Linked DNA regions of Ovis aries. The protein of the gene in region 3 interacts with the protein of the main gene of each other region in a pairwise test. Links are inferred from orthologs where the notes say so. Each region holds a gene or a part of one and is shown on either strand. Other genes may lie near its edges. The genes, in order: CCND3, TRIB3 and ATF5.

The links.
Region 1: the proteins of ATF5 (region 3) and CCND3 interact in a two-hybrid assay, tested with the Homo sapiens proteins (2 studies listed by BioGRID and IntAct). The link is inferred for Ovis aries from reciprocal best matches to the Homo sapiens genes ATF5 and CCND3.
Region 2: the proteins of ATF5 (region 3) and TRIB3 interact in a two-hybrid assay, tested with the Homo sapiens proteins (2 studies listed by BioGRID and IntAct). The link is inferred for Ovis aries from reciprocal best matches to the Homo sapiens genes ATF5 and TRIB3.

The regions. Positions count from the first base shown.
Region 1 is NC_056073.1:15,736,210-15,742,966, forward strand, and holds the start of CCND3 (G1/S-specific cyclin-D3), read right to left. Parts: upstream 3,622-6,757; coding exon 3,424-3,621; intron 2,525-3,423; coding exon 2,309-2,524; intron 1-2,308. UniProt on the Homo sapiens protein: Regulatory component of the cyclin D3-CDK4 (DC) complex that phosphorylates and inhibits members of the retinoblastoma (RB) protein family including RB1 and regulates the cell-cycle during G(1)/S transition.
Region 2 is NC_056066.1:60,299,138-60,305,094, reverse strand, and holds part of TRIB3 (tribbles homolog 3), read left to right. Parts: intron 1-2,513; coding exon 2,514-2,806; intron 2,807-4,835; coding exon 4,836-5,325; 3' UTR 5,326-5,957. UniProt on the Homo sapiens protein: Inactive protein kinase which acts as a regulator of the integrated stress response (ISR), a process for adaptation to various stress. Inhibits the transcriptional activity of DDIT3/CHOP and is involved in DDIT3/CHOP-dependent cell death during ER stress.
Region 3 is NC_056067.1:55,999,358-56,006,114, reverse strand, and holds the start of ATF5 (cyclic AMP-dependent transcription factor ATF-5), read right to left. Parts: upstream 3,988-6,757; 5' UTR 3,790-3,987; exon of another isoform or gene 3,784-3,789; intron 2,524-3,783; 5' UTR 2,405-2,523; coding exon 2,227-2,404; intron 708-2,226; coding exon 34-707; 3' UTR 1-33.

The DNA.
Region 1 (6,757 bases), on a different chromosome or scaffold from region 3:
GAGCACCCCACTCCACCTCTCTGGCTGAAACCCAGTGCTTAGTGTCTTTGAGTCTCAGGGGGAGAAGTGGAGGTCAAGGCAGACAGGATGGGTCCAGGTGATGATCCCTGAGGGACCAAACCATCTCTCCATCAGTCCCAGCCTCCCTACTACTGCTGGGTCCTGGAAGGAGACTGGGAGCCCCACCCAGTCCACTCCTCTGAGGTTCCCAGCCCTGGCCCTATTTCTGAGTTGCACACAGGAGGATTTCTTCATTGTCTTATCTCAGGAAGGAACTCACGGGTTTGACCCTTCATGGGGTAGAAATGGCAACCCCACCCAATCTCTTTTCGGCCCTCTGTCACAGCTGCCCCTCTCCTGGCCCCCACCTAGGTGTCATGATCTTCAGCCTCTCACAAAGCCTCACAGAAATCAGCCTGGCCTGGAGCCAGAAGAAGTTGAGCAGAGAATTTAGCATTCTACTCCCTGTGCTTATTCCAGGGGTCAAACTCCTAACTCAGAAGTCAACAAAAAGCATCCAGGATCCAAGGAAACATCTGGAAGGCAGCTCGGAGTGGGGACGCATAGGGTCCTGCGTTGGGGGAAGGTGGCCACCTTACCCTCCATCTGGGCAGAGTATCTCCTGAGAATCTCAGTCCTCACATGACAGAGAACACACCCCTAGCAGCTTCCATCAAAACCCTAACCTCTGAGGCCACCTGAGGCCTCAAACACACCCTCCGTGCAGCACCAAGCCAGGACCCTTCCTTCCTCCTCTGGGCCCCCACCTTCTTTGCGGCACAAGGATTATTTGGACTGACCGGAGCTCTCTGATGTCCCTTCCAACTCTGACCTTCTAGGAAGTCATCGATCGGCACGCTCCACCCCCAGCTCAGGCAGGGGGAGTGGGAGGAGAGGACTTTTGGCCTGTTCTGAAAAACTGCCCTCACATAAAGGCACACATCCCATGCTCATCTTTTCACAAAAATGAAGTCCCCTTCCACCAGCCCAAACTCCTTCAGAAACATCTTGCTCTCTAGCCCTGGAAACCAGCTCCACCTTCAGACTTGCCCCAAACTACCAGATTCATCACAAAGAGCTGTGGAGCCTCCCAGATTCCCAGCTCTGGCCTCCTACTCCCATATCCGAGAGCTACTTGGCAGGAAGAGGAATCCCGTTCCCCGACAAGCAGCACTCAGGGGCCCCAGTACCCTGGCTTTCCTGGCCAGCCAATCACAGCAGCCAGCACGCTGCCCTCCTCCCCGGGAGATGGGGCCCAGAGACGCCTCTCGGGTCAAGAGAAGACTCGACTGCTGTAGAGCAAGATGGAGGAAGGTGCCAGCTCACCCCTCTCCCCTGGGTCCCCCGAGAGATGATCTGCACGCTCCCAAATAACCTCTTCCAAATCCAAGCAACTCCCCACCTCCTCTCCAGGCTCAATGGGGAAAGAGAACCATGACTCCCCTGCCCTGCCTCGGGAAGAGCCCAGCCCAAGTTCCCAGCAAGAGGCCCAGGGAGCCACTTCCCAAACCACAGGAGTGACAGCAGCTCCCCACAGGGTTATGAAAGACCTTGGTCAGGGTGGGTGGGCCAGGGGAGAGGGCATCATTATCACATCGGAAGCAGCTGCAGTTCAGCCCCAGTCTGTGCCTCAGCACTTGCCTTTGGCTAAAGGGGAAAAGATGATTCCACCAGGCCTGAAGCAGCTGCTTCTGAGAGCAATTTCTCAGGGTGAGACTAGGGAATGGAGAATGAGGGAAGGAGCTGGTTCTCCTGGGATATAAAAGGAAGGAAGGAAGCAAAGTGGGATGGAACTCCTCGGCCCTTCCTTACAGCAGCTGGGGCCTGGCTTTAATCAGCTCTGGGAGACTTTTTGATCACAAAGTCCACACACTGGGAGACAAGATTCAACCCGGGCGGCCCCTTCCCCCACGTGAAGCACGTTCCACTCCCCCACTCCAGTGGGGGTGCACAGGCATGCCCTGCTGCTGCCAATAAATAACTCCTGGTGGCTGTGTAAACCCAGAGGCAAAGTTCTGGTGAGTGTAGACATGCAGTTTGACTTGTTGCTATCTGGGGGAAAGACCATGAAGGAGTGGCACCCCCTGGAGGTCAAGACAGGGGATCTGGTTCATGCTGGGAGTGCAAGCCTGAACTGGGGCCACCCTGACCATCACACCACACTGTCCCATCTTTTGTCAAAAGAAAAAGAAAAAAAGCTGCTACCCTGCACAGGGGCAGAAAGCCTCCCGAGGTCTCAGCTTCCCCCATCCTGGTACGTTAGGAAGGAGGCAGGGGGTGCTGGCAGGTGGGGAGGGTATGCACGCACCCGCAGCTGGCGCGGGGAGACAGAATGGTCGGTGTAGATGCACAGCTTCTCGATGGTCAGGGGCGTTGTCTCGCGCAGCTTGGAGGCCAGCAGCATGCAGACCGCACCCAGGAGCTGCAACTGCGCCTTTCGGGTGGGGACGCAGGACAGGTAGCGATCCAGGTAGTTCATGGCCAGGGGGAAGACTTCCTCTTCACAGCGCTGCTCCTCACACACCTGGGGGAGGGCGCACAGTCACTTCGGGGGCAGAGGCTTAGGAAACGCAGCAGCAACTAAAGGCGAGGGGTGCGGTGCGCTGAAGGGAAGTGGAATGGGGAGCAAGACACGGGAGGGGGTAGGTGTACTCACAGTGACAAGGACTAACACGCAGGATGCGCCTTCCCCAAGGTGACACCCTCCCACTTCCTCTGCGGTGCCTCCTTTCCCCGGGGGTGGGAGTGGGGGGGGGGGGCGGAGCGGGATACGCCAGAGGCTCCCTTCCTTCAGGAATCCAAACTGAGGCTGATCTGCACCCCCCGTACCAAGGGAGAGGGGTTCGGAAGAGTCACCCATAGAAGCCAGAGAACTGGGACCTTACCCCCATTACTGCCACCCAGTGCACACACCCAAAAGGAAGGGAGGAGACTCCAGCGGCTGCCTCCCGCACTTTCCATTTCCCTGACGGCCGGAACAGCGCGCCACCCCCACCGGCTTCCCCGCCAGAACCCCCGCGACACACACAAGGAACCAGCTCTGCGGCGGGGGCGGCCGAGCCCAGGGTTTTCCAGGCGCGCTCTCCAGAGAAGACCGGGCGTGCGGTGGGGGCGGGGGGAGGCTTTTGAGAGAAGTCAGAGGGGAGAGGGTGGCCCTCGCCCCGCTTTCCCCGCCCGAAGACAGGGTTATTTGGGGGTGCCAAATGCCTGGCGGTCAGGGTCAGAGAAGGGCAAGAAAAAGACAGCACCGAGGCAGCCGGCTAAGGGCGCGCGAGTGAAAAGTCCAGGCCCCGGGGATCTGCGCCACAGAAACATCTTGCTGATTGTTGCTGAGGACCAGGATGTCCCGACAGGGCGGCCCCGGGATGTCCGGAGCCCGGGACGCGGGGGTGACGGGGGAGGGGAGACCCGCCCAGGCGGTACCTCCAGCATCCAGTACGCCAGCATCTTCCGCATGTGCGGCTTGATCTCCCTCTGCACACACTGGAAGTAAGAGGCGCGGGGCACGTAGCGCTCCTCCAGGCGGAGCAAGCTCTGCAGGACACGCTGGTCCCCTAGCAGCCGCGGGTCCGGCCCGGCCCGGGGCGCGTGCCGAGTGCCCTCGCAGCACAGCAGCTCCATCCTCGGGCAGCGCGCGGGCAGGGCGGGAGTGCGGGCTCGGGAGCCAGAACGCAGGCGGCGGGCCGGAGAGCGCGGGGCGCGGGACTGTGGCGCTGTCGCTGGCACTGCGCGGCCGAGCCTCAGCCCGCCCCCGCCGCCGCGCGCGCGCCGCTTCCCTGACAGGCGCCCCGCCCCTCGAGACCGAGTAGCAACCGTGGAATGCTCAGACGTCGCGACGCTCCGGGGGCGGGGCCTCCGGCGCCCGGACGGAAAGGGCTGGCGGGCGCTCCCCCTCCCCCGGGCGACCGCATTGGTCGGCTGGGCGCGGGCCGCCGGCTTCCGGGCGCTCCGGATCCTTTTGACCACCCGGTGCTAGAGGAGTGTGCTTTGGAGGTGGGCCTCTCCTCGCCCCCCGCCCCCACCTCCGAGCCCTTCCATTTTTGCATCTCCCGACTCCAGGCGCCCCGAAAGGTTATTCATTCATTCGTCAAACTCTACTTCACCCGCTGCTTGCTCTAGGAAAAGTAAATAATAATAAAATAGCTAGATCTTAGGGGAGACTGGTCTGAGCACTTATTAAAATCTTAATGAAGAAGCTGTGGGTTAGGTCTTATACTGATTTTGCAGTTGAGGAAACTGAAGCAGTAACTATAATAATAGTTCGTCTGCGGCAGAGCTAGGATTGGGAAGCCGACGGTCTGCCCCCAGAATCTCTGCTCTACCCCGTGGCTACTTAAACTGATCCCCGAACCAGCCTGAGAGCGGGTCAGAAAAGCAGAACCTCAGGCCCATCCCCTGACCTACTGGATCAAAATCTGCCTTTAACCAGATCCCTGGTGATTCCTGTACACACTAAAGTGTGAGAAGAGACAGTCCTAAATCCGCACGCTTGAGAACTACAACAGGGCGGAAGGGTCATGGATTCAAGGCCTCACCTTGTCTGTCATTAAGTTGGGTGTGTGGCCTTGGACAAACCCTGACGTTGGCCTTAGTTTCCGTTTGAGGAAATGATGGGCGGAGAAACTGCCTCCTTTCTAGAGGAGTTTCTTGCTCAGATTGTATAAAATCTTTCAGGCGCCACTTTTACCTCCCAAGCTTTGGGACTTTGCAGCGTTTCCAGAGCTGGATTCCGCGTGACCAGGAGGCAAACACACCACAAGCCTCCAGTAATGCTCCAAATGGCAGGAGGCCATGGGGATCCCTGCCTTTCCTGGGGTCCTCCAAGGAGGTGAGACACTAAGGAAGTTAATTACTAGAGAAATGACACTCTATAGAAAGAGGTCAGTCCTGCGCTAAGCATTATCCCAGTGAATTGTTCTTTTTTATACAATAAATTTTTTGCTGTTTGCATATCACGGAAATATTCAATGCATTGTAGAAGACAGAAAATACCAATGTCACACAAAAAAGTAAAGAGTAAGTACTGGCAGTTTCACCATCCAGATTGTTGTCCTTCAGTCACTAAGTCATATCCAACTCTTTGAGACCCCATGGACTGCAGCATGCCAGGCTTCCCTGTCCTTCACCATCTCCCAGAGCTTGCTCAAACTCATGTCCATTGAGTCAGTGATGCCATCCAACCATCTCATCCTCTGTTGTCCCCTTCTCCTCCAGCCCTTAGTCTTTCCCAGCATCAGGGCCTTTTCCAATGAGTTGGCGCATTGCATCAGTTGGCCAGATAACCCTTTAAAATGACAATGTTTATTTTTCTAAAATTGTTCTATGAATAAACATATTTTTAAGAATGACATCATTGCGAACTATTTTGTAAACTTTTTTTTTTTCACGAAAAAGTATACTGTCAGCACTTTTCCATCTCATTAAATATTCTATAACTTTTTAAATAACTACCTAGTAAACCATTGAGTGAATATATCGTAATGTATTTCACCAAAGCTGTATTATTGGAAATCTAGGTAGTTTCTAGTTCCTCCCTATTAGAAATAATACTGTAAAATATTTTTGTGGTAATATTTTTGTGCACACTCATGATTATTTCTAGAAGTGAATTAATTTCTAGAAGTGAAATTTCTCAATCTGAAGTTATGAAACATTCTAAGGCTTTTGATACAGTTCTTATTACCAAATTTCCCTGCTGAAAGGCTGAACCAAACTAATGAACAAACATTAGATATCTACTTAAAAAAAAAAACAACTACCAACTGGCGAGATGAAAAGTGGTTTATTAGTAATGTGTATAAATTTTTAAATTCAAGAGTTCTTGTTGTATCAGTGTGAATGTGGGCTGTGTACCTTCTCTGATCTTGTAAGTCTTCTATTCCTGTCTTCAAAAATACAAGCAAGAAGTTTCTTGAGCTAACTAATCATTGCATTGCACGCTTTTGTTAAAGAGAACAGTGTATTTAAAATTATAAAAATTAGATATGACGTTAAGGGGAGGCAAACATGTTGAAGCGTACAGGGCTTTTAGGGTGCAGAAGGGCTAAAAATGTAGCTTTTGAAGTTAGTACATAACCAAAAACCAGTTCTGTCCTGGATGTTTTTTTACTTTCAGAATTATTGAGTAGGACTGTTCTGTTAAGATGGTGCATCTTTGATGAGAGAGTAAATCATTTTTTTTCTCCATAAGTATACTATTATTTCCCTCCATTTTACAGAAAGGGAAACCAGTACTTTAAAGTGGCTAAATAATTTGCCCAAGGTCACAAAGCTAAAGTGGTCGAGGCTAGATACAATCTAGTGAGTCTGGCTGGAGAATCCATGCTCTTAACTACTTCATTCCGCTACCTCTTGTGCTGATCTATGAGTGCAAATTGATTTATTAGTTGTTGGTTTAGTGAGGAAGGCGGACAGAAACTACCCAGTCCTGGAAGCTTGGGAGTGAGCCTACATCCTGGGGAAGGGGGATCCTGGTAAGCCGGGCATTTTGAAGGATACCTCTGCCTCGCCCTTGACTAGGACTGACATGCCCAGAGCAGAGTCATCCAGGACCTCTGGCCAAGGTCAGCTACAAGCTGGCTGGCTGTCCTCCATGGAGGCCGGTGAGCTCAGTGCTGGGCCAGGGCAGAGGAGTTCCTGGAGGGTTGGCTGATCTGCCTGGGAACTTTACCAAGCACCTCCATCTCAAAGGAACAGGGGCTCCCCTCATTATTCATAAAAGAAGGGGAAAAAAAAAAAAAAGGCAAAGCACTGACCA
Region 2 (5,957 bases), on a different chromosome or scaffold from region 3:
CCCTGAGAAAGCATAATCGTAGGTATTTACTGTGCACGAGGTACTCTATTGATCATGCAGTCTGCATCCTCTCTAATATTCACACAGTCTATGAGATAGTTACTATTATAGGGCCCATTCTACAGAGAGAGGACAGGTTCTGAGGCTCAGAAAGCTGTGGTTACTCGAAAGTGAAAGTGTTAGTCAGTCAGTTGTGTCTGACTTTTTTCGACCTCTTGGACTCTAACTCACCAGGCTCCTCTGTCCATGGAATTCTCCAGGCAAGAATACTGGAGCGGGTAGCCACTCCCTCCTACAGGGGATCTTCCCAACCCAGGGATCAAACCTAGGTCTCCTGCATTGCAGGCAGGTTCTTTACTGTCTGAGCCACCCAGGAAGCCCCGGGGTTACTTGCCACCTCACAAAGCCAGGAGGTGTCAGAGCTGAAATTGGGCCAAGGCAGGTTCAACCCAGAGCCTTGGACCTCATGCTAGGACAGGTGGTTCAGATACAAGCAGGGCAGGTTTGCTCTGGCGGGCAGAGGTAAGGAGGATAGGGGAGACCCAGGTACACAGGGAGGGGCGGAAGGGAGCTAGGACTCCTTGGGAAGGCACAGACAGGCAGGGGGACTGACGCCTCCATCCAGTTGGCTGGGGGATGAGGGGAAGAAGCAGCAGTGGCTCCTGTTCCTGCTCATGGGGGTGCAGTGGGCGGGGCCACATCTGGACATCAGACACCAGCTTACCTGGGCTCTGGCCGCTTGATGCAGGTTCCGAGGTCTACCCCAGGTGTTCTAGGGAACCCATGAACTCTGGGTCCCCTTCCTGTAGCATCACAGGTTTTTTCTGGTCCATACTGAAAGGCATGACCATGGCAAGCTGAAGTCAGAAGCTTTCACATGACCCCAGATACCCAGGAACATTTAGGGCAATCTACTAGGAGTGCCTGTCCGTACACCCAGCGTGAACTGTGGGAGCTGACCTTCTGTTTCCACATTGCCTAGGCTTTTCTGGTCGGCATGTAGAAAGATCAACATCCTGTCTTTCTAGGCTATCGCCTTATTCATTAATTCAACAAACCCTCAGTGAGCACTTGTATACTCCGTGCATCATGCAATATGCACCACATATGGCTAAAAAGTGGGCCAAGCTGTGCCACCACAGTTCATGCTGCAGGTGAATAAGTAACACATGTATCAGGTGATCTTAACTGCTACAGAGAAAAACTAGGAGCTAGGAGAAAGGGGAGAGGGAAGGGGAGAAGGTGCAGGTGATCTTAGGTGGGAAGTCCACCTTGGAGGAGGTGACTTGAATAGTGTCTTGAACTGGGGGAGCCAGCCCTGTGGGTATCTAGAGGAGAATGCTCAGGTAGCAGGAAAAGCAAGTGTAAATGCTCAGAGGCAGGGATGCGCTTGCCTCTCTGATTTTTAAAAAAGTCTCCGTCTGTGAATTGTCTACTCAAAGCCACCCCAATTGCTTTAAGACATGTACTTACATCTTTTCATGGATTAAATGTGTATATGCTTTATTTATTTTTATTGGCTATATGTCCTAGACAAAATGACAAGCAAAGGGTTTAAAGGCAGATAAACCAAAGTGCATAGACTGCTCTGCCAGTGATGAGCCATGTGGCTTCCAAGTCACCATCCTCTGAACATCCTTTCAGGACTATGGAATGGCTTCCATCTAATGTCCATAAGCCCCTAGCATCTTTCCCCATAACTTCACCATGCTCACCACAGGCCCCACCTTCCTTCACATTCCAGCCACACTGAGCTTTGGCTGGGTTTCTGGAGCAGCTCAGTTTCTTTCCTACTTCAGGGCCTTGGCACTGCCTGTGCCTCCCACCCGGAAAGCTTACTCCTTGGGCATCTCAGTCACTCAGGTCACTTCCCCAGAGTCCCTTCTGGACTATACTTTCTAAAATAGGTGTCTCCTGCCAAAATATTCTTGATTCCAGCATTCCTTTGCAATGCTCATCAGAATTTGTAAGTATTTAGTTTTTTGGCCTGTTTAACTGTCTCATGTATTGGACTGTGGGCACCAGGAGGGCAGGGACTGTGGCTGTCAGTCAAGTTATAGTCCCAGCGGCAGGCACAGGTGGGCATTCAATGCCTGCTTGTGGGATGAAGGAAAGGGTGGGTGGGAAGTGAATGCTAGAGAATGGTAGCCACGATGGATGATGAGGACTTAACGTTACTTCTGTATTGTCTGCTCTTCCAGATTCCTCTTGTTTTAGTTACTTTTGTTCTGGTTACCTGATATCTTTTTGAATTATCTCAAGTTTAAGAGCACATGAGCTTGTAGCTAAGAGCACAGATGATGGAGAACAGGGATTTAAATCCTAGCTCTGCTCCTTGCTGGTCAGGCAGCCCTCAGCTTGGTCAGTATTGAGTGACATGCAGTGGAAGCGCTGGGCACAGGGCCCAGCCCACAGTAGTGCCTAAGGGATGGGCTGTGACCTGCTGCAAGGCCGGCCCCTGCTGCCTGCCCCCTGGAGTCCCCACCCATGCTCACACCACGCTCTGCCCACAGGTGTACCCGGCCTGCGAGAGCCTGGCGGTGCTGGAGCCCTATCGGAGGCTGCCCCATCACGGCCACGTGGCCCGGCCGGCGGAGGTCCTGGCCGGCACGCAGCACCTCTACGCCTTCTTCCCGCGGCCGCACGGGGACATGCACAGCCTGGTGCGCCGCCGGCGTCGCCTCCCGGAGCCCGAGGCCGCCGCGCTCTTCCGCCAGATGGCCGCCGCCCTGGCGCACTGCCACCAGCACGGGCTGGTCCTCCGCGACCTCAAGCTACGGCGCTTCGTCTTCACCGACCGGGAGAGGTGAGTGTGGCGGCCGAGGAGGCCCCTCAGTTTGGCCTTGACTGATGTTCTGGTCACGCTTAGATTGAGGTGATGCATTTTTTGGCAAGAATACCACAGAAGCCATGGGGCCTTCTCAGCCGGTTCTATCAGGAGATTCATGCTGTTGAGGGGAACTACTGAGATGTTAACCTTGGTCTTTGGTTCCAGTGGCTTCTGCCAAGTTGTCTATTGGAAGGCTCCTAATTTACCCTTTGTGTACCTTGGGTAATTTTTTGTCATTGTTATTAAAAACCTTGAGGGTTTTTAAGGCTTTATGTGTGAATATCCTGTTTCTGCTCACACTTTTGCCCACTAATTTCACCTGCCATCCATTCTATAGCAGCTACGCTTATGATATTTGCCTAAGGGTGGTTTTCTTTTCTTTTTAAAAATTTTACTATTTATCTGGCTGCACCGAGTCTTAGTTGCAACATGTGTGATCTAGTTCCCTGATTAGGGATTGAACTCTGGGCCCCCTGCATTGGGAGCGTGGAGTCTTAGCCACTAGACCACCAGGGAAGTCCGTGAAGGTGGTTTTTCCTTTTAAAGATGGTATTTCCTTTTACATTTTATACTAAAATGACCATGCTTTGAGTAACAATTAGAATGTAAGTTTTATAATGATTTTTAAGCTAATATGCAGCTTTTCAAATAATTTCAAGCTTAAGGTGAGTACAACACCCCCAGACCTCCCAGAAGTGAGAAAAGTGCTTTCTTTCCTTTTCAAGGCAAAAGTTTGAGAAGCACCATCAGTAAATGATAGATAATGGAATCATCCTGGGGCCAAATTCTGGCTCTACTTCTTTAACCTGCAGTTTTGCCTTGAGCAATAGCTTCATCTGCCTGAGCCTTGACTTCTTTATCTGTAAAATGGGCCAATAATGCTGTCATCTCTGCTCACCCTCAGTGCAGTGATTGACAGGACTGGTCAGCATTTTCAGACCAGCACCCAGGAAGTAGTGCCACAGGAATAAGATTAGTAGCAATGGCAATGCTATGCTTACTATTAAAGTAATCTAGAGCACTCTGTGGGAGTTATTTAAAGCAGAAGTTGCTAAGGTTGGTCCACACACACTTTTTTTTTTCCTTTGCATCCCATACCTGTTCATTTGTGGGTTTTTTTGTTTTGTTTTTTGCTTGTTTCCTTTTCTTTCTTTCTTTCTTTCTTTTTAGTTGAAGGATAATTACAGTGGTGTTGGTTTCTGCCATACATCAATATGGGTCATGTTTGTTTGTGTTTTTAATTGAAATTGGTTGCCAACTTTTTAAAACCTGTTTTTTTTTTCTTTAAAATATGATTTCTGGGTTCTTTTGTGGAAAAGGGGTTCCATGGAGGCACCCTGGGAACCATATGAGCCGCTTGTAGCCCTGGCTCTGGGCAGGAGAGAGCCAAGGTTCAGTCTCAGTCCTGCTCCTTTGGCTGCAAAATGGCATCTTCCTCACAGGCTGCATGAGGGTGAAATGAGGTGTGATAGATACAGCCTTAGCTCAGGGTGAGGTACGCTGTGGACACTCCCAAATATTAACTGTAGGTTTGTGCTGAGACGGTTAGCACAGTCCCCACTTCCTGTTTCTTATTTTGTTTCCTGCCTAGACCCCAAGTTTGCATCTGGCTTCAGAGAGTTTTAATGCCCTCAGCCCCTCAGCACAGCCCCACTTCCCCAGCCCCCAAGTCAAGTTTCAGGCAAGTGAAGCCATCGCTCAAGGCCAAATTGCAAGTTAACAAGTAGAACCTGAATTTGACCCCAGAGACATTTGGAAAAATGTGTTCCTCTCAGAGTCCTAGTTCAGATTTAATTGCTGTGTGACCTTGAGAAATGAATAAACCTCTCTGAGCCTAGATTTCCTCATCTGTAAAATGAGATCAGCCAACCAGCCTCACAGGACTGACTCATGTCTGACAAATGCCAGCTGGTATTGGGGAACTGTGTGCCACTCAGGTGGAAATGTGGGGTGGTAGAAGGAGGGGTGTCCCACTAGCTGACTCCCTGTCTCTCTGCCCGTGTAGGACGAAACTGGTGCTGGAGAACCTGGAAGATGCCTGTGTGCTGACTGGGCCTGACGACTCCCTGTGGGACAAACACGCATGCCCAGCCTATGTAGGCCCTGAGATCCTCAGTTCCCGAGCATCCTACTCAGGCAAGGCGGCAGATGTCTGGAGCCTGGGTGTGGCACTCTTTACCATGCTGGCCGGCCGCTACCCCTTCCAGGACTCAGAGCCTGCCCTGCTCTTTGGCAAGATCCGCCGTGGCGCCTTTGCCCTGCCTGAGGGCCTCTCGGCCCCCGCCCGCTGCCTGGTCCGCTGTCTCCTCCGAAGGGAGCCAACTGAGCGGCTCACGGCCTCGGGTATCCTGCTGCACCCTTGGCTGCGGGAGAATGCCATCCCTGCAGCCCCACCTCGGTCCCGCCACTGTGAGGCTGACCAGGTGGTCCCTGAAGGGCCGGGGCTGGAGGAAGCAGAGGAGGAGGGAGAAAGAGAGATGGGTCTCTATGGCTGATGTCACCAAACTGGACTCTCAGCTGCAGACAGCGGGTTGAGTCTGGGGTATCTCTAAGCTCTCTTCTGCCTCTTTGAGCTGAGCCAAACCTTAAGTGCCTTCTGGGAGGGAGAGAGAAGGAGGTGTGTGCAGAGCATGCTGGACACACACACCTGTGCAGATGAGCTCATGCCCCACTGAGTCCTCCTCAGGAGCTCCTTGTGCCAAGCCCTGTTCTGGATGCTGGGAACACAGCAGTGAATGACAGAGACAAAGTCCTGCTCAGAGCTGACAATACTTTCCATGCCCATGAGTCAGTGTCTACACTGAGCACCCACAGTGCAGGGGTTGGCATCGACTCGTGCTGATGCCCAGGCACCTCTGACGTGGGACAGACCCTGTCACAAACAACCCAGCTGCCTTTGTATCTCATGCCTTTTCAGAGGAATGGAAGCATCCCTGTGCCAAAGGCTCCAGGCCTCTCCCCTGTGATTCAGGACCCTAGAACCCAGACCAGCCTGGGAATTGTCCTCCCAGCAGCTCTGTCCTCTTGGCCAAGGGCTTCTCCATCCAGGCTTGAGTGAAGGATTTGGGCTGGAAGATCAGGAGTGCAAACTGTGAGGCTGGTCCTCATCTTACTGAAAGAGTAATTT
Region 3 (6,757 bases):
CAGCGCCCCCTACAGCCCGAAGCCCTCGCCGGGCTAGCTGTTTCTGGTCCTCTGGCTGCGAGCCTTGTACACTTCGATGAGCAGATCCTTGACGTACTGGATCTCCCGCTCCACCGACTCCGCCCTCTCCCTCAACTCCCGGTTCCGCGCCTCCAGCCCCTGGCACTCGCCCTCCAGGGCCTCGCCCTCTGCACGCTTCCTCTGGCGGTACCTCAGAGCCGCGGACTTGTTCTGGTCTCGCTTCTTCTGCTTGCGGTCCCCTCGGCTGGCAGCAGGACTTGGGTAGGGGGCGGGGCGGGGTGGGGGCGGGGCTTGCGGAGGTTGGGGCGGGGGCGCCAATCCCGAGTCCCCCTGCCCAGCCTCACTGCGGCAGTAGATGGCCAGCAAGTCGAGGGTGTCCAGGGAAGGGGGCTGGGGGAGGTCAAAGGTGGGCAGGGGGAGGGGGAGAGGGAGGGAACATGCCGGTGCCGGCGGCGGCGGCGGCGGCGGCAGTGGCGGCAGAGGTGGGGAGGATGGTGGGAGCAGAGGGGCATCGAGGAAGTAGTCTTCCATCTGCTCCAGCTCCTTCTTGAGCAGGGAGGCCATAGCTTCCAGGTCAGGTGGGGGTGGGGAAGGTGGGGGGAGGGCACCTGAGGGCAAGGGGGGCTCCAGAGGGAGCAGGGCTGTAAAGTCGACCCGTTCGGTCATCCAGTCAGAGAAGCCGTCTCCTGGAGGATTGCAGGACAGAAAGCTCCTTGATTTCCTAATCCTCCACCCAACCAGATCTCACTCATGCCCACCTCATTCATCACATTCATTGAGTTAAACCACCAGCCAGCCAACCAACCAATCAACAAATCATCAAACCAGTCAACAGACCAGCCAACCAACCAACCAATAAACCAAACATCTAACCAACCCGTTAACCAACCATCAATGACCCAAATGAGAAAACAGTCAACCAGCCATTTCTTCAACTGTTCCAACATCCTCCTTACTGATTACCCTGCATCTCTGGTTTCTTGATTTACTCTCTAGTTTATTATAAATGGCAAACTAGATCACATGTAAACACACCCTGTTTCATCTTTAATTATTGAAACCCCACTATGTGCCAAGCATTTGGGATACACTTCCCTCATAGCTCAGTTGGTAAAGAATCTGCCTGCAATGCAGGAGACCCAGGTTTCATTCCTGGGTCGGGAAGATCCCCTGGAGGAGGAAATGGCAACCTGCTCCAGTATTCTTGCCTGGAAAATCCAATGGACAGAGGAGCCTGGTGGGCTACAGTTCATGCGGTCGCAAGAGTCAGACACAACTTAGCGACTAAATCACCACCAGTGAATAAAATGGGCTTCCCAGGTGGTGCTAGAAGTTAAGAACCCACCTGCCAATGCAGGAAATGTAAGAGATGCAAGTTTGATCCCTGGGTCATGAGTATCTCCTGGAGGAGGGCATGGCAACCCACTCGTATTCTCGCCTGGAGAATACCATGCACAGAGAGAGGAGCCTGGTGGGCTAGAGTCCATAGCCACGATCTGGCGACTTAGCACCCAAGCACGCAATGAATAAAATACTTCCTGCTTCAGGGGCTCTGCCTGTGCTGTTTCCTGCACCTGAAAAGCTCTTCCTTTGGGTCTTTTTATGGGTTGTTCCTTATCATTCCTTAGGTCTCAGCCAAAATGTTACTGGCTTGGAGAGGGTTTCTTGGCTCCCCCCGCCAAACGTGTCCTCGTTGTCATTTTTATTTTTTTTTCTCATTGCCATTTTTAAACTCAGCTAAGTGTTTCCCACTTATTCCCATACATCATTTAATTTGTCTCCTGCATGTCTTCCCAGTAGAGTGTGAGCTCCAAGGAGGCAAGGATCATGTCAGTCTTGTTCCCAGCTGTATCCCCTAAAACAGTGCCTGACATATTATGCTGTTGTCGTTACTTAGTTGTTCAACTTTTCAAGCCATGTCCAACTTTTTGTGACCCCATATACTGTAGCCTACCAGGCTCCTCTATCCATGGGATTCTCCAGGCTGGAGTGGGTTGCCACTTCCTCCTCCAGGCTTTTTTCCCAACCCAGGGATTGAACCTATGTCTCCTGTGTCCCTCGAATTGCAGGTGGATTCTTGACCTGCTGAGCCATTGGGGAAGCCCTATTACAGGTACTCATTAAAAAATATTTATCAGATGAATGAATTCTTTCTTCTCCCTCTCCCCCCAGCTCACCCCACCTCCATTCTTCACCTACTCTTACCTGCCAGGGGCTCTCCCCCCCCTGGAAGCCCGCCCTCCAGGGCTCCCCCAAGGACCTCATAGGGGCCCAGGGGGGCAGGGGCCAGGGGGAGTTTCCCATAGTCTACGAGCCAGCCCAGCCCGCTAGCTGGGAGCAGGGTCCTGTCCAGCTCCAGCCCCAGGGTCGCCAGGAGTGACATGGCTGCAGCAGGGGCGCTGGGCACCGATGGCAATGGAAGAGGCTGCACCAACAGCTGGGAGGAGGCTCTGGAGGTTGCTCAGCTGGGCGAAGACAGGCACTAAGGCAAAAATGGAGGACCTACAAGTGTGACAAAAATGTGAGTGGGTCAGGATCAGCCTCACCTACTATTGCCAAAGCCACAGGGAAATCAAGCCACCTCCCCAGAGTCCCAGGACTCCTCATCCTTTCAGAATTCTAAACCTGTCCTTTTCCTGTATCTGAGCCCCACCCACTCCCAAGGGAATTCTCTTTACATTTGGCTTATTTCTCAGAATTCCCAAGACCCAATCCTTCCAAAACAGAAACCTAATGGTCTCCCAGGGGAATTTCCTTAAAGTCCTTCCCACTCACCCCAAATATTCCCTTTCATTTAAAAAAAAAAAAAAAAAAAAACAACCCACACTCAATCCCTGGGGAATTTTCTTCCAGTTACATCTCTTCCTCTAAAATATAGCTTTTAGGCCCCACACCCTCCCTAGATTCCAACTCAAATCTGTTCCCATGGGAATTCCCCCTTTTCCCGCCCGGTCGTCAAAGTTATCCGTTCAAATCGCAGTTCTCCCTTTAAATTTTGGGGCTGATCGCCACTCTCTCTCAAAGTCCCGCCCCCACGGTACATTTTAGCTCCACCCCTCCCCGATGATTCCCCAGAGGCCCCGCCTCTTTCTCAGGCAGAAACCCCACCTCCCTCAGCAAAAGGTTTCGTCAGCCCCGCCCCTTCCACAATGGGTAACCCCGCCCCCAACCCCGTCCTCGGAGACGCCTCTTATCCTAGCTCCTTCCCCTCTACAGGTCGTTTCTAATCCCCGCCTTCTCCCCTGTCAATCTAAACCAGTCCCCGCCCCAGCAGGCGCCTGAATGAAAGGGAGGGAAGATAAGCTCGGCGCCTGAGCAAAGTGGGAGGCGGCTCTCTCGTTGAAGGCTACAGCGCATGCGCCATCTCCCGAGCGGTGCCGTAGCCACCGCCCTCCTGGGGGCCAGTGAGCATGTGCTGCTGCTTAATGCCCGCCCTTAGAGCAAAAAATACAGCCTCAGGTGGGCAGCTGCGCATGAGCAATTGCTCGCAGACAGTCAGGGCGGGGGTGTGGGGAAGCCACCGCGTCTGGGAACTAGTGCGCAGGCGCACACGCACGTGGCTATCCTCTTTAAACACCAATTGTCCGGAAGAACGCACCCGCCCGAGTGCGCATGCTCCGTCGCGCGAGAACGCTCGTCTTCCCTCTTCTGCGCCTGCGCGACCGTGATTCCTCAGTCTCCCCACCCCCCCGGGCTCGGTCGCGAGGGCCGCGAGCTTCGAAAGGGCGGGAAAGGCGGTTGGAGAGGGAGGGGCGAGCGGTTACTCACTCCATGGCTGCGCAAAGGAGAGGCGGCGGCGGCCTCGGCTGAAGGGAGACGGCAGGAGCGGAGAGCGCAGGCGCGGTGAGCGCGGAGACTGGCCGGGGGCACAGAGGGGTCGCGGCTACAGAGCCATGGCCGGGGGTATGCGGGCAGAGGCGGCGTGGCGGTAGAGTGAGGAGAGACCGTGATCTGAGGATGGGGAATGAGGTGGCCCCGGGGACTGGACACAGATATACCGCGGGCGGCGCAGCACGGCCTGCGCGGATCCTTCCGCGCCCCGCCCCACGTGGCCCCAACGCGGAGGCGGGCCTGCACCCCTGCCCTCGGGGATCTGATCCCGGCTTTCGATCCCGGGGGTCCAGGCCTCTCCTTCCTCTTACTCGTGGATCTAGCCCCGCTTTTCTCCCGACTCCGGGGGTTCCGACCCTCCCTTCTCTCTGACTCTGGGTTCCGGCCCTCTGCTCCCTCTGATTCTGGTGACTCGATAATCCGTCTTCCCCGAGACTCCGGCCGGTTCATTTCTCCTTTGCTTTCCCCTGCTTCGCGAATTTCCGGCCAGCCACATGCTACTCTCCTCATCCTTCAACTGCCGTCCCACTCTGAGAACCTTTCCTGTGGCTTAGAACCTGGCGTGAGTCACAGAGCGCGCTCCAGTCAAATCCCAGGCCGGCGAAGGTGGCCTTGGGCAAAAGACCTGAATTCTCTAGCAGCCTAGACAGGAGACTATCTGTAAAACGCGGAGAATAATCAGTTGTACCTGGTGGGGTCATTTGTCAGAATCAAATGAGTCGTTGCCTGTGAAACTGAGATCCCACTTCGTACATGCTCTCTCAACCTCTTACTGTGAGTAGGAAGGAACCCTGGGGCTCGGTGTCACCCCTTCCGACCCCCCTGGCAGGAACCCCAGACGCTAGACCATCCAACACTTGCTAAAAGGTCATCCTTGTGTCTCTTTTACCTCCTCCAAGGTAATTCCCAGCCATCCCCCCCCTTTCCCATTCATAACATGGACGCTCGGCCCCATCTTGGTGCAGCGAGTCAGTTATCACCCTCAGGCTTGTTATCTTTTCTCTGTCTCCTGCCCACCTACCCTCAACGCTTATCCTCAGCATTCCTTTCAGGTCAGTTGGTTCCTTCTTTTGTCCATACCCTCCACCTAAGCTCCCTTTCAGACTGTCCTCTACCTCAGCTCCCCCGACCCCACCATCAATCGTGCAGGTCTGCCAGAAATAGGAAGATCTGTAATCCATTGCTCAAAGAGATGGGACTTCCTAACCATCCCCTCCCGGTAGGCTGGACCCTCCCAGCCCAAGTGGTTGTGGGTCTTTCCTGTGCTGCAGAAACCCATCCTCCGTTCGTCCACAGCAGGACATTACACCTGGAGTTGAGCTTTTCCTGGTGCTTATGAGACTGAATCAAGATCCTGAGAAGACAAGGGACCTTGATCTTCAGAGTTATCTGAGAATGAAGACAGGCTTTTTTTTCTTCCTCTAAGTTCAGATGCTCTTTTTTTTTTTTTCCTTCCAGATTTATTGGGCTATGATTGACATGTAGCACTGGGTAAGCTTAAGGCGTACAGCATAGTGATTTGATTGAACATACCTCATAAATTGATTAGTAAGTGTAGTGAACATTATCTCCTACAGATAGAAAGCTGAAGAAATAGAAAGAAATACATCCTGTTTTCCTTGTGATGAGAACTCTTAGGATTTACTCTTGTAACAGCTTTCATACACAACATATGGTGGTATTAATGAGGTTTATTGTATATTGCATCCCTAATACAGGCTACTCTTGCATACTGGAAGTCCTTCTTGGGATCTGACCACATTCCCTTCACTTTATCCACTCTGCCAGTATTTGAGCTCTTGCCCTATAGGGGCTGTTTTTTACTGAGGCAACAGAGTAACGGTTAAGAGCACAGACTCTGGAGCCAAGTTGTTGGATTCAACCCCTGACTACACCCCACTTAACTAGCTTACTGGCAATTTCCCTTCCAAGTGCCTTGCTTTCCTTAATAGTTCTAGAATCAAATATGGAGTTGAGTTAGTAGAAACATGCTGATGGCCAATGTATGTGGCCATTGACAGTACCTATTTTTTAGTATTGAGGATTAAATGAATTGATCCAGGTCAGGTGCCCTTGGACTAGTGCCTGGCACAGAGTAAGGTGTTACATAAGGGATTCATTGTTACTATTAAGGTGGATATGGTTTATCTCTAGTGCCCAGCAGTAGTGCTTCTAAAGGTCTTTAAAGTAAGGACTGACTGCCACTCCTCAGTGTTGAGTACTAGCGTGTGGGATTAGGGGGGACCATTGGACAGGCTGCTGGCAGTGGGGGCACAGTCATCCCCCAGTCTTCTAGATTATAACTGGTGGACTAGGTAGAGTATTTTTCTTTAACTTTTTGTTTTGGAATAACTAGATTGACTACAAAGCTGCAAAGACAATACAGAGAGTTCCCGGGGAACCCCTCACACAGCCTCCCTGCTTCCCGTGGGCATCTTGTATTATACTGGTGTTTGTCACAACTCGGGAGGCAATGTCAGTCTGTTTCTGTGACCTACCCCCTCGCCCACCCTATCTTCCCCCCAGGAAGCCGGGTTACACTTAGTTTTCATGTCTCCTCAGCAACCTCTGGTCTGTGGAGGCTTTTCAGACTTTTGTCACCTGTGACTTTGATATTTTTGAAGAGTGCAGGTTAGGTATTCTGTGAACTGTTCCTCTTTGGTTTTGTCTCATAGACTGGGACTTGGAGAAGGAAATGGCCACCCACTCCAGTATTCTTGCCTAGAGAATCCTGTGGATGGAGGAGCTTGGTGGGCTGCTGTCCGTACCGTCGCACAGAGTGGGACACGACTGAAGCGACTTAGCAGCAGCAGCAGCATAGATTGGGACTATGGGGTTTTGAGAGGATGGTCAGGTTAGACAGTTAATAACTTGAGAATGAACTTAGTATGGAATTCTTGCTACC